2 linked regions of the Rhinolophus ferrumequinum genome follow. The protein of the gene in region 1 interacts with the protein of each later gene in a pairwise test. Links are inferred from orthologs where the notes say so. Each region holds a gene or a part of one and is shown on either strand. Other genes may lie near its edges.

Region 1 (7,529 bases):
AGTTTGGGAAACAGAAATTGGTCTTTATACCTTAGGATATCTCAGAGCCCTCAATGTGTAAATATGAATTATGGAATTTCCAAAAGAAGGATTCATTATCCCAATGAACATAATGAGGTGTATGGAGATGAAGTGACCTATCCAAGGTCACACAGCTAGCTAATGGCAAACTTAGAATCAGAACCTACTCCTGATTCCCACTCCAAAGTTCATTCTACCTCCCTAAGACCTCATCACACCTAACATTAAAAAAACCAAAACAAAACAAAAAACACTTTTCCACGGGTCACTTCTATAAAAAGATAGGAAACATTAGTGGCTTGTCCTGACAGTATTTACCACCCCCCCACCAAAACAAGTAACACAAAAAAAGGTAAACAGCAAAGAATTTTTATAAAACAACAAAAGCCTCCTCAAAGTAAGCTGGGACATAGTATTGACAGATTATACACACTAATGGTACTCTAAAGCATATATTCTAATAAAATATGTCCTCTAGAAAATCGGAGATACAATCTTTTCTAATCAGTACCTGGACGGAACTAAGAGAATGGTAAAAATAACAACCTAGATTGTGAGGTCCGTTAGAGCAGCGACCATGAGCCTGAAATATAGTAGGTATTCCAACATATTTGCTAAAAGCATGAACAATAAATCCCTGCTTTACCATTAGATACTGATCAAGTTATAATCTCTCTGAATCTGAGTTTCCCCACTTGCAAATGAAGCGGTCAGACCAAAATGACCAAGATCTCACCTACCTTTAAGAATTCATGAATCTTACACAAATTATTAATAAATCTCAAATCTCCAGCATTTGAGGCCATGTCCACAAATAACCAAAAACTATAACAAAAATTAATATTTGTAGGTCACTTCATAGTCATTACTTCATTTAATATGCCCAGTAAACCTGAAAATTAGAGTGGTATTATTACCCACATTTTACAGGTAAAGAAACTGAGGCCCGGAGAAATTGCCTGGACCAGAAACATAGTTATTAAGTAGTGAAGCATGGACTTGAAACCCAAGATTTTAGGGTTAAAATCTCCCATTCTTTCCATTCCACCCTGTCCTCTGATAATAGGGACGGAGATGCAGCCTAGCTGATGACGGCATTATTCCCCAACTTTCAGCTCTTAACAGGGCTACAGGGCAAAAGGTTTCCCAAACTCTCTCATCATCCCATCTTCCCAGTTAAAGCTCCAACTCTTCAGTAAAGAAAAATGACCTTAATACAACAAATTAATCACATTTTTTTCCTTAGAGCCCAAGGTGAACTCGTATCACTATTATAACAGAGGATGACATTATCAAAGAATAAAAAGAAGTTAATTATGAATACAATGTTTCACAATCAAAAGACAGTTTTAGTTCAAATGATATGTACTCACAGTTATGTACTGTTACATTCAAAGACCACCTTATGTCATTATTATGTTACATTTAAAATGAAACCTTCACTTTTGGAAACTTTGTTTGCTAGCAGGTATGAGGCCATTTAAACTACTAATGCTTAGGTCTTGTTACAATACTACCATACTTCAAAACACTACTTCAAGTTCAACTTCTCTTAATTCCAGTAATGAACAAACCCAACTCTAGGCTCAAACTTGGTGTTAAAATAAACAAGTGTCATTTACATCACACCCTTCCCCTGCAAGAAATACAACTGGGCAACCAGGAGCATCCCGGGTTATGGATTTAGATTTCCCCAAGACTTTAACCAATCAGCTGACTCCCACATTTGTTAACTCTTATTTTCTGTCTTCAAATATATACATCTTCTATGTCAAATATAATTGTTTCTCACAGCTATGGCAAAACCCCCTTTCAACAGGGAGTATACTACAATAAACATATACTTATTAAACCTCTCAAGTGCGTAAACACCACATTAAATCCTCTGCCAAGAAAATTAAATGAGCATTATCTTTCTGGGGGTTACATGTGGAAACAGTTTGGAATACGCTTAGTGAGTCCTAATTAAGTAGAAGTAGATAAAACATACAAACATCATAATCCTGCAGAAGAGGAAAGAAAAACAATTCTTCCTCAAAAAAGAAAAAGGTCACTTATGCTCACCCAAACTAAACCTACACGTACAGAAATGGCACACCTGGCTGATTCATATCGCAAGATCGTTAGTTACTATCATGTTCTGTAAACTTCAGTACGTTCTGGAGGCTTAACAAAAGTTTAGCCTATTAAATCAATAGCTAAAAAGCTCCATAGATTCAAGAGGTCCCATACCTGAAAAGAACTGACCGGGAACGGCAAGTGAGACTTTTAACAAAACCAAAGCTACAAGCCTCTGCATCAATCAGGATTTAAATTCCTCTCCTGGTAAAGGCTCAATAGCATCAGACTGATCACCACTTCACCACTGGTAAGTTTGAGAAGAGCTGTTGATATCTTGCCGGCCAGTCTAAACCTTAGTGAACTGTCACAAAATCAAAGTCACAGCATATGTGACAGCTTCGCATGCCAATTCAAAAAACCACAGGACCATCGAATGTATGCGATTCTCAGAGCAAATTACATAGAATAGCCTATGTTATTTACCAAAGTGCCAAGCAGTCCCCAGGGGAGCGCAGCAAATGATAACTTAGGTCCCAGGACAGGCTCCTTTTCACACAAGGATGACTTTCCCAGTTAGTGCCAACTGTACACTCGCATGCTCCGAAAATAGGGGCAAGTCCTGAGCACCAGGGGTGGCAAGGGCAACGCTTCCATTTTATTATGGGCTGAAGCTCCGAAGATTCCCAACGCTGAATCGCTCGACCTATAACCTCGGAGTCACTCTCCAACTGTGCTCTCACCCAGAATCATTATATCCCGAACGGAAGCCAATTATTAGTTGTAACAAGACCTGGAAAAATAGTACGAGGACCCTAAAAGTGCACATGAGAGACACAGAAGAGGTGGGGGCTTCGAGGAAGAAGACCAACGTTAAAGCATCTTGGGCTCCAACATTCTAAACGCCAAAATACATACAAAGACCCTGCTCCCGGATGACTGCAGGCAGAAAGAGACACACAGACCCTCAGTCATTCCGACAGCATGGGACTCCAGGGGTTCACCTAGACCAGCAGCCCGGGCTGAGGCTCTGATTCGTCCCGAGAAGGTCTTACACCGAGGCAGGGGTCTGCATTGTGGCCAGACAGAGCGCACAGCCCCTTTTCCCGGGCCCCTTTCCCTCTCCTTCCCCACCACCAGGCCTCTCCCCGCTCCTCTTCTCCTTTTCCTCCCTCCCTCCCCTCCCCCCAGACACACACAAAACAAGGCCACCTCCCCCCCCAAATCCCACCAACTTTCCCGTGTCCACCCCCCCGCCCTTCCCACCTCTCAGGAGCACACAGAAACTGCAGGCCAGGAGGCTCCTCAGGACGGCCCCCATCTTCCCTTCTTGCGTTCTCTTCTCTCACCGGCGAGGGGCGACCAGAAGAGGGGGAGGCGAGGAGCCGGGGCGGCCGCCGCAGCGGCAGGTCTGCACGCTCATGCTTCCCAGCTTGCCAGAGAGAGAAGAAAGGGGCACGTCAGGGCTCCGCGCGCGCCGCCGCCGCCCTCTCTACCGCGCCGCTCTGGCCAGGGTTCGCGCGACGCCAGCGTCTGCTTCCATCCCGACGCCTCCTCCCCCGGCGCCCCGCTTCCCCCGCGCAGTTCCTCATTCAGCCTCTTCCTCTCACGCAGCGGCGCAAGGATACGAGCCGCCCGTCGCCGGGATGCGCGGCCAAGGTGTCCCTGCGCGCGGCCAAGGTGTCCCTGCGCGCGGCCGAGCCCCCTCCCTGGGCACCCCCTCTCTGGCAGGTATGAAAGAAAGTGGGGGTGCACGCCCTGCCTCTGCTTGGAGACTCCCGGAGATCTGCGGGGCGAGCAGAGGGGACTTGGAGGGGATAGACCGCGCCGCGGCGCATTCCAATGGGATTCTTTGCCCGGCCGGCCGCTGAGCCCTCCCCGTGGAGGGCGTGAAGCGACGTCGAATAACATTGGAGCCGGCGTGGTCGGGACTACTTTCTGCTGCTCCGCCGGGCAGCCGCCTGCTCCGCTCTTTGTGCGGCGGCCGCCGGCGGAGCCAGGTGGACCTGCGGGTCCCCGCCGGCAGCACCTGGGCCGGGGTTCCGGGGGGCGGCAGGCCGGGGGCGCCTGAGCCGCAGATCCACGCTCGGGGAGCCACGTGGATCCCGACACGGGATGAGCAGCTCCATCTTCAGGGTTGGAAATTGGTTTAGGCAATTTTTTAAGGAAAAGAAAAACCCGTGCCCCTGAACCCCAGCTTCAAACGTGGATCTGGTGAAGGATGCTCAAACCCCAACTCAAACTCAGGTTTTTTATTTCTCTCCTGGCTTCCCCGAACTACAGACTCCCCCCCAGAATTAAGTCCTACACGAACTAAAGATTTCTGAAGTGGCAGATAAAATTTCAAGATAAATGCGTCAGCACCTAAGACAGAGCAGAGGGACAATTGGAGAGGACTGAGGATTTTACAAGTTGCCTTTTAATAATGAATGTTCGGCATGTTTTGATGATCAGTTCTCGGCTTGAGGAGGAAAGGATTCCCCAGAATCTGACTCATTTTGCACAGCCTCTGCTACTCCCGCTGCACTGGGCATTGAAGCGGAGCGACCCAGACGCTCTCGGATATTAAGTGGCTGAAAGGACACTCCCAGAGTTAACCATAATGGAGCTATCTGGTCCGTTCTGTCCAGCTGTTACACACCTTTACCTGGGGGCACATGGGAAACAAGTGGAGCTACTCCAGAAATGTTACTAGTACCGAGTGACATTGGAGTTCACCGAGTGCTTGCACACACATCAAATTTGACACTCAAAACTACCCTGGGGTAAGACAGGTTTTGTTACTTACCCTCGATTGCACAGAGGAGGAAAAGAAGAATCTGAGAAGTTCAGTGACTTACCCAAGACTCAAATACTGAATGGCAGGACCCAAACTTAAGCCAGGACTTCTTACTTCACTCTCCTCCTTCTAAGAAATGCAGGCTGAACCAGGGCAATGCGTGTCTGTCAGCAGATACAAAGGCAGAAACAGCCAAATCATTTTCTCATAAATTCATCTGAGAAAGTCTACCCACTATTGATTTCAATTACCTTCTACCAAGTACCATGTAAGTGCTGTGCAAGTTTTGTATTCTGACCTCAAAACGCATAACTGAGAACCCCGTTTTTCAGCAATAGCCTAGGGAATTATTGTGAAGCTACTGAGTCTGTGGAGAAACAATGTTAGTGATAAAAGCATGAAGTTTGGAATGAGACTCGGGTGAGGACCCAAACCCTACTAGTTACTAGATGTGTGACTTGAGGCACGATATTTAAATGCACTGCACCTCAGTTTTCTCCTCTGTAAAGTGGATATAATGCCTCCTTCAGGCTTGTCAGAAGGATTAAATTAAATAATATATATAAACTGCTCAATATATAACAGGTGTTCAAGAAATGACCATTTCTTTTCTTTCTCAACTCCTTCAAGGTGAATGGTGTCATAGTAACTTGAAATATTGGGAAATAATGGGAGACAAAAATTACATGCTCAAAATGTTTATTGCAGAATTATTTATAATTGGAGGTAGATAACCATGAAGCTAGTGAAACTTGAACTTCATGACCGCTCACTTTCCCAAGCCCCTTCCAGAGCCCAGGGAGGGGCCCTAACAGTGTGGTCACATGGGCCTATTTGCAAAAGTCAGATGATTTTGCATCCTTTTTCTTTAAACACCCCTCAAAATTGTATCAATTTCAAGTCCCACAAAACTAGGATTTGTTCCTATTTATAACAGAAAACTGAGGACAACCTAAGTCTCTTTAGGCTTTCAATCTAAGTAGGAAATGAGATATTATTATACAATGCTGAAAAAAATAATAATTTGGAAGACTGTGCAACAGTGTTGGAAAATGTTTGTAGTTAGCTAAACTTAAAAGCATGTAAAAGTACATGTACGTTTTAATTACAGCTGTATGAAATATAAATATATACATAAACACGTGTTTTATATATATATATGCATATATATATATATATATCTCACGTGTCTGAGCAAAGAAAGTAAATGCACTAAGATAGACATTAGGATGGTGAAATAATATGAGATTTACTTTTCTGTTCTTAAATTTCCTTTATTATATTTTTTTTCCAAATTCTTTTAAGTTACCTAAGTGAAAATCTCTAGCTTAACCTTAAACCCTAGCCTGGACAGTATTCTCACTATTTAACTAATTCGTTTTCACATTCATTCAAGTGTCTGTTAAATATTCAATGTCAGTCATTGTATTAAGTGCTGGTTGTGCAAAGATAAGATTAATCATAGTCCCTACCCTCAAGGAGCTTACAACCTAGTTTGGAAATACTAATTAATAACACAAATAATTAAAATGTTTAAATTGCTATGCTGCAGAACTGTACCATATTAACAAGGAACTCAAGTACCGAAGCGCTTACTTCTGCCTAAAGAATTTAAAGAAGAGAAAATAACCCTAGAGCTGCGCCTTGAAATACAAGTCGGAGGTTGTCAGGCCAACAAGACTGACAAGGAATTCTAAGCAGAAGGATAGCAGGTGCAAAGACACTGAATTACTAGACAGCTCTTGGCATGTTAGGGATTTGAAAGTAGACACATATAGCTGAAGTATAGGTTGCTTTTAGAGAATGTCAGGAAATGAGTCAAGACCGTTAAGTAGGTATTGGATAATAAAGAGCTTTATTAAGTCATGCTAAGAAGTTTAGATTTTAGCCTCTTGACAATTACAGACAGTAAAGTATTTTTCTCATTGATTTGCAAGTTAAATAAATTGGCAGCAGTGTGGATAATAGGAGGGAGAGATAAGTCTATGAAAAGGATGGTCAGGCCAGCAGCACTGGGAACTGAAAAGAGATAATGGATTTCAGGAATATGAAATCAAAACAGCAGGATTTGGTAACCTATCAGATGTGAATTGAGAGAGAGAGATCTATGATGAATTTCTAAGTTTCTAAGATAGGCACCCCAGTGAATGGGAGTCTCATTTACGAAGAAAAGAAATGCATAAAGAGTTATTTCAAGAGGGGGTGACGATAAGCTAAACAATGGGTCTTTTCTATCGGCCGTGTCTGTAAAACCTCCAGCTGGAGATACTCAGTAGACAGGTTTGATACAGAACTTTGGACCCGGGAGAGGAATGGAAAACACAGCTATCCATAATGATTATGGAGGTCATATGACACACAATCCAGGGGATATATTGTAGACTATTGAATAGTGACTGAATAGTTATTACCACAGTTTTCTGGACAATGACAGTAAGGTGTCTTCAGAAAGGGAAACCCTATTCTAATTCAGGTGAAGTCACCTCTGGGCCACCTCATTGATGGACTAAGGCAAGACGGAGATTATGGTTGAAACCATAAACTTAAGGAAAGAATAGAGCATTTAGTGTGACCAGAAAAGTGAGCCAAGACAGAACCGTGTGGTATTCAAGTATCTAGGAGCAACAAAAGAAGAGAAGCTAGGGAAAGAGACCAAAAAGGTGCAGGTGGA
Region 2 (7,878 bases), on another chromosome or scaffold:
CCGAGAGGCCTGACTGCCAAGACCCAGGGCCTGACCTGGCTCCCCAGCCTGGGCTCAGTTCTCCTACGTCCCTACTAGCCCAGGCTCCAAAATGCTGTCCGTCAAACACCAATTATCCCTCAACTTCCACTCCTCCATCTCCTCATTCCCTGAGCTTCCACTCGCTCATAGGGGATGAGGGAAGGACACCCCATCCTCAGGGGGACACAGCCCCACAGCAAGGCACGTGGTTTGGTGAGAGCTGCTGCGCAGGCTGGATCCCACCCCCTACTTATCTGCGGCACAGCAAGGCCTTTGCTAACACACTCAATCAGCTCCCCCAGCTTCCTTTCCCCTCTAAGCAGAAGCTTAACTCCGTAAAGGTAGAGGACTTGGGAATCAGATGCTAGTCTTGACCTTTGGCAATTCTCTTATCTGAGTCTCAGTTTCCAGCTTCTGCTTACTTGAAATGGGAATAACAATAGTATCTACCTTCAGCGAACCTTTATGTAAATTAAACAAAAACTCACCTGCAAAGCCCTTACAAAGAGGAAAAGCCCAATAAATGTCAGCTCTGGGCTCTGCTGGAATCTATATTCCCATCTTCCACACAACTCACTCTCTTCTCTCCCTTCTCCTCGGGCCCATGCTAAGATCCTCTGTAGAACCCTAAGGCCAGTGCTTCTGGGGCTCTCTCACCAGTCATGCCCAGTCAAGCCTCCATGTCCTCACCCGTGCCGCGCCCCCCAAGCTACCTTAAACCTCTTGTCTTGAAGAACCTTCTTGATGGCTACCAGTTCCCTCGTCTCTGCCAGCCGTGCCTGGTACACGACCCCAAATGAGCCATTGCCAATCACTTTGATGTCTGTGTAAGCCACCTCCTGGGAGCGATCCGGGCCTTGGCCTAGAGTGGCTACCACTGTGGTCACTTTGCCGCTGTCACCTGGGGAACAAAGGGGACACAAAACCCACTGACCTTTCCCCTCTTGCCACCATCCCCTCCTGGGGCTGTGGGAGGGAGGGGAATCACTACAGGTAGCTTTCTGGGGCCTCTCTGTCCCTTTTTCCTTTCCCCTCTCCTCCCAGTACCCTCCCCCAGGATACTGACATCTAAACCTCTTGCAGACCTTTCATCTCCATTTCTAGTAAGCAGCAAACCACTGGGTCCTTTTGGTCTAAGGAGACACCGACACTCCCAATCCACTCTGAAGTTTACTGCCCTCTGGGCCCTCCTGACTGGGGAAAGCCTTGACCTAACCTCTTCCACTCAAGTGGTAATCCTGAGGTACTTCTACTTTAGAAAAGCACTAACCTTCCTCACAGCTCAGGGCAGAGTGACCTCTACACACTCCCTGGTGGAGCTGGTAACTTCACCAGTGGTTTTTGGTGACAGGAATGAATGACTCCTCCTGGCATGAGCGTGCTAGTGCCCTGATTCTCACTTTTTGGGGACAGTTAGCCCTAATCCAAATACTTTGGGATTAGAGAAGGCATTGACCTGACCTCACCTGTACAGCCCAGAGCCCCAGACCCCTTCCAGCATGAGGGTGGACCCTAATGGACAAGCACCAAATTGTGAGACTGGTGAACCTGATCTCTATAACCAAGGGGCTAGCCCAGCTTCCATCCTTCAAAGAAAAGCTGTAATTCCCAGTTCTGGTTTCTGAATGGCAGCAAACTTTGGTAGCATTCTTTGGGGACAGGGACCCCTTTTCTTTGGGAAAGTGAGGAAAGGTTCCCCAAAGAAAAGGGGTCATTGATGAATCAAATCCATGTTGAGGGACCAGTTGACACCTTCTTTTGTCAGAGGTGATTCTACGTAGGTCTTTTTCCAGAGCCAATGACACACCTCAGAATAACGAAAGGGGTATAACCAGATCCATATTCTATGGGGAATTGTGACTCTCTCCTGCCCTCATTCCATTTTTGTGAAAGGAGACCCACCAAGCCATGTTTTAAGAACAGGGACCGTGACTTGATCTGATGGAGATACTGACTCCCACTCTGTCCTTATTTCTAAAAAGCAGCAACCATTAATTTCTACCATTGGGGGAACAATTCTACATATTATGAACAGGTAATGATACCAAACTTTGTGTTTTAAAAGGGAAGATGACCTAGGTACCAGGTTTGGAAAGCCCTAGCCCTGATCTTTGGGGACACAGTAACTCCAAATACCTGCTTCTAAACAATATTCACTCCAAATCCCATCCTTTGAAGGGGAACAAATTCAGAGCCCCTTTTCGGGTGGTGGTGTTTTTATTCTTGTTCTCTTCGGGAACAATAACCCTTGAGCTTCATTCGTAAGTGACGATGACCCCTGATCCTGTTCTCTAATGGATGGCAACGTCAGATCCCTGTTTTGAAGCCTCAAGGACCCAAGACCTTGATACTAGAATAACAGGAACCTGTGACCCCTGGTTTTTCTACGGTAACTAATTCTAATCTTAAACTGCAAGTGATGGTAACCCCCCAAATCCTTCTTTGGGAGGAGTAGAGCTCAGATCCCAGTTTTGGGAGGCACAATGACCTCGAGCTCCTATCTGGGCACATAAAAGAACCTGATCTACGATTGAGGGGCTTCAGGAACCCTCATCTCCACCCACCACGGGCGCCCCTAGTACTCACGGCCCAGCTTCACTCCCGGCGGCGGGAAGCTGGTGCCCGCGCTGGGACCGCCGCTGCCTCCTCCGCCACTGCCGCTGGGGCCACCCCCGGAGCTTGAGGCCCCCACGCCCCCACCCATGGCTCCGACTGACGCCTTCCCGCCGCCGCTGCCGCCCGGGCCGGAGGCCGAGCCCCCGGGGCCGCCACCGCCGCCGCCGCCGCCGCCTCCTGGCTCCGCGAACGAGCTGGTCCGCGCCCGGCCCGAGCCCCCAGGGCCACCCCCTGAAGGCGCGCCGCCGCTCATGGCACCGAGCGCAGGCCCAGGCCGCGGGGCTCGGGCTGCCCGAGCTGCCGCCGCTGCCGCCGCCTTCCCCGGCCTCCGGCCTCTTCCAGGCCGCGCCGCTCGGGCTCCGGCTCCGGCCCAGCGCCCGCCGCGGGGCACACCGGGAGATGCAGTCCGCCTGCCCTCCGCGCCTCCGTCACCGCCCTCGGCCCAGAGAGAGCCGCGTGGCACGCCGGGAAGTGGAGTCCGCAAAGGCTTCAGAATAGACCGTGGAGATGATGGGTCGCGCTGCCCGTCGAGAAATAGGGTCCTGGGCAATAAATCGATCCACTGTGCCCACGGCGGACCCAGAAGCACTTTGGGAGGCCAAGTCAGAGTCGCACACTTCCTCCAATGCGGCAACGGTGAGCCTCTCACCGTTCAGTGTACCTCAGAAATGTAGTCGCAGCCACTCGGTGAGCGGCCTCATGCACGCCGGGAAACGGAGTCCAGTCGGTCACTAAGTCTATTAGCTGTGTATGTCCACCAGCACCAGGTGTACTTTGGGAAATTGAGTCGGCGCAGGAGGACCCGCAGATCTCGGACCAGCAGATCTCGGACAGTGAGGCAAGCCGGGAAATGGAGTCGTCGCCACGCCCTCACCGCATTGCAGGTGTAAAGCGACTCCCAAAGCACGCCGGGAAATGGAGTCCCATGTGATTCCCTAAGTCCCAAGTGGATACTGCAGTTCCGGAGATAGACTGGGAAATGGAGTAGATATAGCGCTCCTCCTCCCTCGCACGCTAGGCCGCAGTTCCTGCCGGGAAATGTAGTCAGCACCACGGCTTCAGAGCAGTTGCTACAGCGAGCCCTTGTGTCTTCTGGGAAATGGAGTTCCAGGCAGTCTCCCATTGACTGAGGGGGAGGGATCTACTATGAGCCCGAAGCATGCTGGGGAATAGTCCAGACCGGATCCTGACACTTTGAGACTAGACTGCCTACGCTGACGGGGAAGTGGAGTCCAATTGGTGGGTACCTTCGGGAAAGCCTGAGCGAAAGGTGAAAGTCGGCAGTTTCCTATGGAGACTGAAGAGTGTTTCAACGCCTCCTTCCCCATCTCCAGGTCCCAAGAAAGAGCCTAAGTCGATTAGGAGCTGCTGGAAAGTGGAGTCCAAACACTCCTTCTAAGTTCTAAGTTTCCACAAAACAGGAAGGAAAACCCCCGTGCAAACGACTTAGGAAACAGTTACCTGCAGTTTCTCAGAACAATAGTCTTAGGATACAATCTAGCTTTTTCTAGTTTTGTGATTTGCACCCAGAGGCTGAGCCGAGCGTTAAAAAATACAATTTGTCCTGAACCCCCACTTAGCTTTTTGCGTCTTTCCACTTCCTAAATTATAGGATCCTGGAGGATCCAAAAGAGGAAGTTGGGTGCTAAGAGTACCCTTAGGTTTTGTGCACGCTTTATGTCGCCCCATTTATCGATTTAATACCCGGAAGGACGGTAGCACCAAAGGGAGCTGGGAAACAGAGTTCGTGTGCGTTTGCGTGTGTGTCCCGGAAATACTTGGAACAAGAATGAAATCACCTCAGCCCCTCCTGCCTCATGGAATGATGGGAAATGGAGTCTCTGGACTTCACTTTAATCCGATCCAGTGTTGGTGCTAACTGTCCTGACCCTTCAGAAGTCTAAAGAAAGTCTCGTCCACTTTGTCCAGTCCTGACTACAATTCCCAATGGGCACAGACACCACCACCACCACTCCCGGGGCCGGGACAGACGGTAGCGTTAAAGGCCTTTCGGACTACATTAACCAGAGGCAAAGCGCGGACACACTTCTATTCCTTCAATGAATGCGGTTGCGTCACACACAGCACGGAGCGGGTGTTTCTGGGAGTTGTAGTTTCCCAGCCAAACGGTACCTGCTGCCCTCTGACGGCAGCTCGGAGTCGGAAAGCAAAAATCTGAGTCAAGACCCAAAGCCCTGAGAAGTCAACCCTACACTGGACCAAGAAGGCCCAGAAGGGCAGCGGAGAAGGGCAGGATAGTGGCGGTTACTTAACGGCCTGGACCCGTGGGACATGCGCAGTGGGCCGCGCGTAGGCAACCGCCACAAGGGTATTGGGATCAGTGGGAGTATGAAGGCAACAGTCGGAGGGAGTCTTACCAGGATATTTATAGGGCTTGAGAACATTTGTTGAGGGGTGCCAGGGCGGGTTGTGTCTTTGAGGAGCTTTTGGGTGTCTGGAGGTACTCAGAGGTACCTTGGAGAAGTGAAGGCCTCTTACTGGGGACCAGGGGAGAAGTCAGAGGGGATTTGGGGTGTTTTTAAACGGTCTCTGGGAGACTGAGAAACTACTGGTGACTGAGGGGATCTCTGAGGTGCCTGAAGGGGTAAGGGATGGTTGAGAAGCATCAGGAAGGAGCTTTGGGGGTCAGTGTGAGTGCTGGGTGTTATAGATAAAAGGACCTCTGATGGGGTGAATTAATTGATGAAGTGTCGTGGATCTATAAAGGGATTTCTGCTTGGAATCAGAGATCCTGGAGGATGCGGTAAGGAGCAAGGGTGTGGTCTTGCAGAAACTGCGAACAGATTTAGGTGGATCGTTAAAGGTTAGAGGAGCTGCTGGAGGTTTCAAGACCCGATGCCACCTCTAACATCCCGCTCAGCCAGAATTGGGGGCAACCAGTCTGACTGGACCTGGTCTGACCTGAGCAGTTCTAGAGCTGAGCACTTTTGAATCCATGTTAGACCTGGTTAGAGGTGCTTCGAAGGTACTGAAATCAGAAGATGAGACTACTAGTCAGCGTCCTCCCCCCTCCCCCGTGATGACATCCCCTTCTCCATCACACCACCACCACCAATTCAGCTGCATCTATGTTGCCAGGAGACATGCCTCATCCCAACTTCCAGAAATAGCCCAGTGGCCCCCACCCCAGGGAGTGACTTACATCACCCAGGAGAGGGAGCAGTTGCCCGCAGGCTGCCATGGGAGCCTCGGTTTCCTGCTAATACCCCAGCCCTGGATCCTCTCTTCACTGCCAACATAATCTGGGACCAGCCATCCTTGGCTGGCATGAAATGAGGATGAAGCGAGTGGGGAGGAGCTACCAGTTCCTTCCCCGAGTCGCACAGGGTGGGGTTTCACAGTGAAGCCAGTCCAACAGGCCCTGAGCCCTCAATTCCCACTCTCTTAGCAGCTGTGTGGCCTCAGGGAAACTCCTTCCCGCCTCTGGGCCTCAGGCACCTCACCTGCACGGTAGTGGCTGAGCTGTCTGGAACAGCACTTCCAAGCCTGGATTCCTCCTGACTCGTTGATCCCTGATTCGAGCTCCCCAACCTGAGCTTCTAGCTTGATGAGCTCACTTCTCAGATCCTATGATTTTGAGACCCTGGTCTAGATCCAACCATCCTAGCTTTAGGAGGAAAACTCAGGAGTCGAAAGAACACAGACTTCATTTAGTCCTGGTTGGGCTTAGGACCTTGGACATTAACTGAGTCACTTGCCCTGCTGGATGTTGGAGATAAATAACTGCAGCTCCTAACTAGGTACTTGGTATACAGTAGGTCAATCAACAGCGACTTTGATTAAGCTAGTCCCCATCTCAACTTGCTGGTGGAGGATGTTCCCATGGTTCCACAGGAAGATCACCAAGGTCCCTTGCAAGGTGTACATTCCAAGAGACTGCAGGCCTGTCCCCAAAGGACTCCCAGACTAAGTGCTCTAAGGAGAGTGATGTGTGAGAGGACACTAGAGGTAATGCAAAAGGAGCTCCAAGCCTTCTCCAGAGCCTGGGGACATGGGGAGGAATTCAGAGCCAGAGGGAAAAGTCATTTCAGGCAATAGGTGGAGTCTAAATGCTTCCAAGGACAAGTCGCCCCATGGGATAGGGAAGCAATCAGATGATGACTGGAGTATGCCTGAGACCTAAATCATTGAGCCCTGGAGGTATGTACCTCCCACCCCCACCCCCCCTTCAGGAGGTCACTTCCCTGAAACCACACATTCAGATGGGGTTAGGCCCTCTGGCCATAGATTCACTGGGGAGTCAGTCCAGGCCCCAGTCCTTCAGAATCCAACACAGGCTATGGTCCCTTGATGAGACAGATCATTCCACCCAAAGGTCCAAAGTTTTATTGTTTTGAATACATTCTCCAGCAGCCCCCAACTTCCCTCCGCCCCCCACCCTCAGTCCCCAGTACAGAATAAGGCTTAACCACAGACCCCACCCCAGGGGCCCCAGCCAAGAGGCAGAGGGTCTTCCAGTTTGGATTCAGGGTACCCCCTTCCCACCCCTGCCTACCTACGGGCTGGTCCTAGGAGCAGCTGGGGGTAAAGGGGTTGGACCGGTTCTGGGGTGGGGAGTAGGAGAGGGATAGCAGGCACTTGTAGAGATTTGTGGCCTATGGGTGGCACCCCTCACCCTCCTCTACCCCCCACCCCTCAACACAGAATTTTTGGTTCATCATAAAATGTCCCTCCCTCCCCTGTTGCAACCCTGTGGGGTGAGAAACCCAGGCACTCATGGCCCCTGGAGGGGCAGGGAAGGCTGGATTGGGGCTGAGGATGGCTGGAGGTGGACAGGGAGAGGTACAGGAGGCAGAGAATAGGGAGGGAGACAAGGCTTTACTTCCTAAGCGATTGTAATAAAAAAGTTCCTGGGCTTCGAGGCCAAAGCCTCAGTTCAAATATAAATTCCCCAGAGTGGAGGTGGCCCCCTTCACAACCCCCTCCCGCCCCCCCACCACCACTTTGCCCAGAGCTTAGAAACCCACAGAGACAGGGACAGCCCCCAGCCCTGGGCACCCACCCACCCTTCACCATTAAAAAAAAAAAAGTTAAGTTTTATACAAAACGTGGGGAGGGAAGAGGAGGCAGGGAAGAGACTAGAGCTGCCCTCACCTCCAGGGCACGGGGGACTTAAGGCAGCAAAAGAAGCACAGGGGGTGGGGCAACAGGGTCCCCTGCCCACAACCCTCAGGAATCTCGATGCTCCAGAGAGAGCTGGGCTGTGGCGTGCTGGAGGTC

What was found.
Region 2: the proteins of LRP6 (region 1) and GSK3A interact in binary tests that used the Homo sapiens proteins (3 or more experiments, as listed by UniProt). The link is inferred for Rhinolophus ferrumequinum from reciprocal best matches to the Homo sapiens genes LRP6 and GSK3A.

What each region holds. Positions count from the first base shown.
Region 1 is NC_046293.1:27,146,146-27,153,674, forward strand, and holds the start of LRP6 (low-density lipoprotein receptor-related protein 6), read right to left. Parts: upstream 3,478-7,529; 5' UTR 3,401-3,477; coding exon 3,346-3,400; intron 1-3,345. UniProt on the Homo sapiens protein: Component of the Wnt-Fzd-LRP5-LRP6 complex that triggers beta-catenin signaling through inducing aggregation of receptor-ligand complexes into ribosome-sized signalosomes.
Region 2 is NC_046298.1:40,146,351-40,154,228, forward strand, and holds the start of GSK3A (glycogen synthase kinase-3 alpha), read right to left. Parts: upstream 3,488-7,878; 5' UTR 2,891-3,487; coding exon 2,608-2,890; intron 923-2,607; coding exon 735-922; intron 1-734. Other genes in the region: ETS domain-containing transcription factor ERF, read right to left, coding at 7,828-7,878. UniProt on the Homo sapiens protein: Constitutively active protein kinase that acts as a negative regulator in the hormonal control of glucose homeostasis, Wnt signaling and regulation of transcription factors and microtubules, by phosphorylating and inactivating glycogen synthase (GYS1 or GYS2), CTNNB1/beta-catenin, APC and AXIN1.